Linked DNA regions of Mytilus edulis. Each later gene encodes a partner of the first gene's protein in a complex. Links are inferred from orthologs where the notes say so. Each region holds a gene or a part of one and is shown on either strand. Other genes may lie near its edges. The genes, in order: DNA-directed RNA polymerase I subunit RPA2-like and RNA polymerase I-specific transcription initiation factor RRN3-like.

Evidence for each region.
Region 2: DNA-directed RNA polymerase I subunit RPA2-like (region 1) and RNA polymerase I-specific transcription initiation factor RRN3-like share a complex: the UniProt entries of both Homo sapiens proteins name them as parts of the pol I pre-initiation complex. The link is inferred for Mytilus edulis from reciprocal best matches to the Homo sapiens genes POLR1B and RRN3.

The regions. Positions count from the first base shown.
Region 1 is NC_092345.1:94,834,777-94,838,713, reverse strand, and holds the start of DNA-directed RNA polymerase I subunit RPA2-like, read left to right. Parts: upstream 1-1,614; 5' UTR 1,615-1,687; coding exon 1,688-1,774; exon of another isoform or gene 1,775-2,201; intron 2,202-3,659; exon of another isoform or gene 3,660-3,937. UniProt on the Homo sapiens protein: Catalytic core component of RNA polymerase I (Pol I), a DNA-dependent RNA polymerase which synthesizes ribosomal RNA precursors using the four ribonucleoside triphosphates as substrates.
Region 2 is NC_092352.1:27,404,539-27,408,475, forward strand, and holds the start of RNA polymerase I-specific transcription initiation factor RRN3-like, read left to right. Parts: upstream 1-1,544; 5' UTR 1,545-1,621; intron 1,622-3,937. Other genes in the region: coilin-like, read right to left, coding at 1,288-1,544. UniProt on the Homo sapiens protein: Required for efficient transcription initiation by RNA polymerase I (Pol I). Required for the formation of the competent pre-initiation complex (PIC).

The DNA.
Region 1 (3,937 bases):
TGAAATTACTTTTACATAGTTGATTTTTAAGATACTGACATAAAGAACCAATTGATTGGTCAAAATTTGGTATTTCAATCTCTTTGAATATAATCTATACTACAATACCATGTATTTACATTAGAACTTTGTAACTGTATGTTTACAACATATAAATGCATCAAATAATCATCCTTCTTTCAAACGTTCCAGTCTATGACAATATTTTAACATTGATAAAATTATAGTAAAATACATAGGAAATCTACCAATCTCTGACATTACAGCTATATTACTTGACTTTCTATTTACACCAGGAATATATTTCATAAATTTGGTATGAGCTTTTTCGGAAGAATCCTGACCAAAAACTTGTTCCTATAGAACGTTCTATACTATATATAGTAGATATATATATATAATATTCAGACAACAAGGGATCCTGTAGACCCCCCCCCCCCCCCCAGCTGTAGACTGCCCAGGGGGTCCTGTAGAACGTCATTTAGTGTATACATGATAAACAAACAATATAAGGGATCCTATAGAACGTTTTGTAGTAGATATATAAGGTTCAGACAACAGGGGATCATGTAGAACGACCAGGGGATCCTGTAGAACGCCCTAACAGTAGCTTTATTGTAAACAAGTAACAATGGTTCCTATAGAACGTCCAGCTATAGTAGAATGGTCAGACAACAGGGGGTCACATTACAGATTCGTTTCTTTAAACGCAGACCAGTTTAAACACCCTCTCACACTCCTGTAAAGCCTTAGTACGTGTAACAATATATGTTTAACATGTGTAAGCTACATCTTTTTTTCAATTTGCCTACATAAAAATACTCTTTTAGACGGATAATAAAAATATTATTAACTCCATAGTATATCCAAAGCCGTGGGACCACGTGCATGTGACATTTGCAGGTCTTTACAACATAATTAAGGCACTAAGTCCTACTGTTTATCATATCTATATGAAATGTTTCATGTGTATCTTAAAAAGGAATCTGTATATATTTGTACTATGATATATGCTACTGTAATGCGGTACATTTTTCTTTTTTTCATGTGATAAAATAATAAATAAAGCAAATTCACCGTGTTACATGAAAGTTAATGATTTTGAATCGGTTTTTTTTAATAGCTGTACATGTTGAGAATATTCTATTTTTAGAATAAGTATTTTCAGAATCGTTTATAAATAGCCTATAAATAGAATATGCATAATTCATGATTCGTGACGTAGGGCGGTCTACGGGATCCCTTCTTCCGCTTACCATATACACGTGTGATATAAAAACAAAACAAGCTGGGTAACTAAGTTAATATATATATGTTCCTGAAAAAAGTGACGGATTGTGAGGAAAAGGGGGAGGGCCAATAAAAATGTCCTGTGCCCAAGTATCTATGATTCTCTTCGGGCCACCACAAAAAAAAACAATAGTGCCGAGAGTGGCGTAAAAGACAATAAATTAATCAATAATGCGTGTTCATGATATTCTCCTTGGTAACTGACGAACTGACGAATATTTTTAAAATACGGAATTCCAAACTACGTCCTACCCTGTAATACTATTATTATTTTTTTAATTTAGTCATCAAAACGTTTAATAAGACAGAAATATGTTCTATACATTCAAACCTTATATTTACGTAGACAACAACAACAAATGCACGTGGGAAGAAAATCAAAGAACTTTTGTTCAAAATGACAGAGACTGGGGATCGAATACAACCAAGTTTCAAAAATTTAACACATAAAGATTATGGCAGACCTAATGATAAGCAACATATGGTAAACCTTATAAGTTATATATTTGTTTATATCCGATCTGTAGACCCCCCTTTTTTCCCCTACTGTCGTTCTGACACTAGTCACAGAAACAACCGTTTCATACGTCAATTATGTCAATTGATGTTTCAAAATAACAAATGGATAACAAATGTTGAGTTAACACCTACATATTTTCACTAGAATCTGATAAACCTGTGCAATTTTTTAAGCATAAGACAAATTTATAGCTAGTTTCCACCAGTGGCAGTACATAATTTTTTTTTATAATATTGTCTATTGTCTATAATATGAGGCAGGCATTACCTGTGAATGGGGACGAAGTTGTTAAAAAAAAAGAAACGGAAATACTGTAACGTTTCCGATTTTGGTTCTGTTGTTAGGTATTTTACTTGTGACGTTATTTAAGTTATGACGTCTTATTACATTGGTTGTAATGAATTACATTGATTCCCCAGTTAGATAAAAACCGATAATTTCACATGTGAAATAAACGGGGTTATTTCACTCTCTGATGTCATACAACAATAGGCGTTGTCAAGACGTCGATAACGTCGGATCAAAACAAATTGTCAATGCGTAGGAAAAAGATATAGTTCCTTACCAAGGATCCGGAAATTTTTTCACCTAATTTCGGTCATTTTCATACAACTTAAAAGTTGATGCCCCTTTTCAAAAAATGATTGTCAAAATCACATTACTGCATGAGACTCATTATGAGTATGCTCATACTCGATCGTCATGTTCGTAGCATCAACAAACTTGTTTCACTGTTGCATCGCATTTACTTCATGATTTGTCCTACCATTTTCCAAAAATCGTTTAAGAGCAATTAAGGGAAGGCAACAGTTTATAAATAAAATGATTTTAATGACTCAAAACGATAATATTCTCAGTTATTGCTTACGTTTCCTTTGATTCTGAAGTCAAAATTCAAACCGGATGTACTGCGACAATACTAAAACGAACAATTCCGGACTCATTTCCGGGATTAGTTTTGTTTATCCAAATCACAGGAAATCATCGGCTTTTTAATATTTTACCTTTAATAGTGTAAGAATATTAATTAAAATAGTTGCACTAGCTTTATTTAGGATGAAATTATTTTATATTTACAATTAATTGTCTAAATCTGTGGAAGAGAATTTCAAACATGCGTATTACATAGTAAACAAAGCACGTGTGTTAGAAGTAAAAAAAATATTTTTTTCTATGAAATTAAACCAAGTTTTAATTTAATTTTAAATCATAATTGACAATTGTCTGACCTGTTGAGTAATTAAATAATGAAGCCAGTTGGTATGGAATTTTTATTTCTTTATAATAATAGTTTGGAGCTTGTGATTAATTGCCAGGTGTGAATTAAAAACACAGGTAAAGAGATTAGCAATCATTAGCCAATAGCTCCCCGAGGCATTAATATAGTTATTAGGAGGGCCCTCAGGATTATAACACTTTAATGAAGTGGCAGTTTAATTACAGGAAGTCGATAACAAAACAAAAATATGTTCAAAATGGCGATTTTGAAAGCTGATCTCAACGAAATGACCGAAATTATTACGGTTGAAAAATAAAATTTGACCTAAATCCCAATTAAAAGTTTAGGACATTATAGTTTCAGTTTAGGACATGACTGGCAAATATGACCGTTTCCGGACCCTTGTTCCTTACATTTTCCACATTAATTTCATAAAAAAAAAACATTTGCCAATGTAATAAAAAGAATAACTAATCGCCGTATTTGCCGTAATCACTCGTTTAATCCATGCGTCGTTCGGTCACGCGTTGTCTTATTTTTGATATTCAAATACGGCAATTAGTTCTACTATAAATGTTCAATGTAAACAAAGAAACACAATGCATCAGGTAACGTTAATTCATATCAAAGACAAAGAATTATTAAAAATGAAATATTGGCATTGTGTTCCTTGAGTTCCTATATTTTACTAGACTACTCAAAGTCTCACGACAACAAGACCGGAAGAAGGAAGTAGATTTCTGCGTTCTGCGCAAATGCGGGAATTAAAGAAAGCGACAAAAATATTTGAACGAATTTTCCCAAAATTAAAAAAAAAAAATAATAAATTATTGATTTTTCTACTTTAATAGGGGACTTCTTCCCCATATAAAAGTTTATATACAGGTTCGTCATTACAAATGGAAAAA
Region 2 (3,937 bases), on another chromosome or scaffold:
GCCATCGTTAAACAGGCCATGGAGATCCATGTATAGTAATACATTTAAACAATGTAATCACATGCCTTTACAATGGTTTAGTTGTAATTTTGTTTGAATATCTGGCAAAGGTAATTTAACTATTGCATAGAATAAATGTCCAGAGACTATAGACTAATTGTATGAAAGATTGAGAACAATCTTTACACCTGTTAAACAAAAAGATTGATAACAAACCTTTGAGACCTCTGATGAATATAAACAATAGCAATATTTAAACAAACTGGATCATGATTAAATGTTAACCAATTTCGACACTTAAGGTAGCCGAAAATTACTATTTGATGTCCGACGGTACACATAGTACAGGGCATTTCTACTAGCTGTCCTATATGAGGGCAGAATGAACTTGAACTGGAACAACTTTGGATGAATCTACTTGGCCCGAATTTACATGAAAGCAGTGTCATAAAAGCTACTGTTGTGTGCAGCAACACTCCAACAAGTCTTCCTGCCTCATATGAATTCTTCCCTTAGAAGGTGTGCTAGATACTTAGTAAGCTGTAAGCGATTGAGATAAGGAAGTACTTTTTTAGCCCAGTCAGTTAACACGCTGCCTGGTAACACAGAGGTCTTGGGTTTCTAGTCCTGGTAGAGACAAGATTTTTTAGTACATGTTTGTATGTAGAATCATGCTCTAATTGGCGCCAAACTAGAAAAAAACATGGTGGTAAGAGGGGAATTCTAGCTTGGGTACATTTATTTTGTGTGAGAGTCATTATGGTATGATGACTCTTGAGGTGGGGGAAGTGTTTCAGGATTATGTGGTAGATACTTAGTTAGCCGTAAGCGGTTGAGCTAAGGAAGTACCAATTAATTTATCTCAGTACTGCACTGCAAAATCCAGTTAAGTTATGAATTTTCTAAATCATACAATGCATTTGAAGTCTATTCATCTAGGGCATGCTTTGCCTTAAAACGTTTCCAGATGCACAGGTTTGTCTGTACTCAGAGTAAATTTTGAGGTGAAAATGCAGCCATTTTAGCCACAGGGTCCACATGGTCCACATGAACCATAACATGCTGCCTGGGAAGAAGGAGGTCTCGTGTTTGAGTCCCGGTGGAGAATAGATGATTTTGTATGTAGAATCAGGATCTCCGGATACATTAGATTAATTGTTGCTTGCTTAACGTCCAGTGGCAAATATTTCATGACAAAGTATTATAAATTAATGATTGCAATCTTCTCTCAGAATTGCCTGCTATCAATTAAAATAATAGTCACTTCCTTTTCTACCTAAAATTTACCTATCTTGATGGATACACTTTGCATTAACACAATCATTGTCTCTTAAAATAACTGACTTCTCCCAATCTGGAAGTAAACATCCTTGTAAAGATAAATACAGAGGGACAGCTTTTCCAAGAAATTTCAAGGATATATGTCGCTGTACATCTTTCATTGTCCGGAGATCACCTGTATCGATTAATAACCATGAAGCATCAAACTCGTTGTTTTCAAAATACACTTTAATTCGAACGTGTGTGGCCATGGGCGCAGCCATCTTGATTTCTAGGGTATAACTCGCCTCCAATGCAGAAGATCATTACATCAACAGCACGATTTTAAAAAGTGTGACAGGTAATTTCAAATAAGTCACGTAAATTCAAACACTCGTCGTTTCAGAAGATATAGTGTTATGCTTTCTTAACGAAATACATTCTAAATCACAAAAATTATGAATTATTATAACAGAAAAAAAACATAATTTGGCATAATTTAAATTTGTTGACATACATACGTACTGATTATTTAAATTATTGTCAGTAATGATGGACTTGCTAAATCCCTTTTAGGATTATAGACAACATATTCTACCAAGATAATGTACAAGGAAAGACGAAAAAGAAAGAATCGTAGACTTATTCTTCAATCTTCAATCTTTGTCGTGATCACAGAGTAATCTCTCTTGTGAATTATCCTCTCTTGTAAAATAATTATCACTAATGTAGTTTCTCCTTTGTACTTAGATATTGTAGGTGGCGCTTTAAAAATAATATGAGGCAGGCATTACCTGTAAATGGGGACGAAGTCTGTATGAATTATTTTTTTGTAACTTAAATATTTGTTAAAAAAAAGAAACGGAAATACCGGAACGTTTCCGATTTTGGTTCTGTTGTTAGGGATTTTAGTTGTGACGTTATTTAAATTATGACGTCATATGCAATGTAAACAAAGAAACGCTATCATCAGGTAACGTTTTTTCATATCAAGGAATTATTAAAAATGAAATTGGTATTGCGCGTTCCTTCCTATTTTATACTAGACTGATAAATATATATTTTACTCAAAGTTTCATACAAACGAGACCGGAAAAAGGAAGTACATTGTACATTTCTGCGCAGGTCCGGGATTTCAAAACACGACAAAAAAAAAATTGAACGATTTTGAGTTCATTAGTATACAATGAAAAATTCGGGAAATTTTCCCGAATTTTTTTTTTTATTGAATTTTCTACTGTTATTGAAAAAAAATGGTTAATTAGATTATCAAAATGGCATGAAAAATTAAAAAATATTAAAAATTAAAAGAAATTTGTATTAAATTATCCACTAAAACGGTTTGTTTCCTTTATATACGCCGCTAATAGTTGATTAATACTTTGTGTATTTGGCAAATTGATTGTTAATAAATTGACTTATTCGATACCAGACAAAATTGACTTTAACCAATGCAAAGCATGATAAATTGAAAGTGATGTATCGGCGGTTTAACTAATTTTTCACGAAAAATAATTTCTGAAGTCAATGGTATTTAGTTAAACAACAAATTAATGTTATTAAAAGATTTAAAAACCTTATAAATTACTCACATTACGCACAGATAGATTTGCTCTTTCTGCTAGCTCTCCATTGTAAATAAAAATTAATGTCCCTCATTAGGGATCTCTAATTACAGGGTCAATTACGGAAATTGGCAAATAGCCTATTGAAATAAGAAATTATGACACTTTCGCAGTCAAGTCAACACATGGTCAAACAAGCAATCACTTTTCCTTTGTAACGCGTCAGACATTATCTCTTCTTCTTATGGTATCCAGTTAGGCTGATTAAAATTAATTGATCGATTTTAATCCCCGCTTGCCCCTCTGAAATCGTCCTTCCCCAATTTTTTATTTTGAAAAATTTACGATTTCCGTTTTTTTTTCATTTCCGTTACCGGTAACTGTCAATAACTTCGTTTCATTCAAAACTTCCTGTTTCAAATATCCGTTTTCATATTTCTTGTTTCGAGTACTTTAAAACGATTAAGTTGACATGTACATATTCTGCTGCTCAACAACTGCTCAATAATGACAAATTATTAGGGATGTCAAAAGATTTGAAATTTAATACTCGGATACTCGGTCATGATACTTGAGTACTCGCAATTACTCGGATGAATCTTAAACGCCTATTGAAAAGTTTAGATTTGAGGTGGAATGCAGTATTTTGTTATTACCTTTTATAAACATAAGACAAATGTACTACAAACATAGCTTGCTTCTCCTTTTTTTTGTGTTTATTAAACAATGAATTACCGACCGCCGTTTCTACAAATAACCTATCATAATTGTTGTTTGTGTAAGTGTTTATGAATCCAGAGACATGTCTCTGATGAACCAAATTCCAATAAAATAAAAAATATTTACATATAAAGTCCTACAAAGAAGACTACATTTGTATCATCTGTTCCTGCGGAGTTTTTTTTTAATACGATATGTCCATTAATTTTTCAACAACAATATTGGACTTTAAATTACTTTTGCTTTTTCGTGTCGCTCAGTCTTACTTTTTCTGTGTTTTTTTTTTTTGCTCTAGATCGTTGGTCTTATTTTCATTTTTTTTGTTTTTAATCATGTATAAACACCGTTAAAAATGTCTCTATTCAGTTGCGTAGGGTTCACCGCAGGTCACT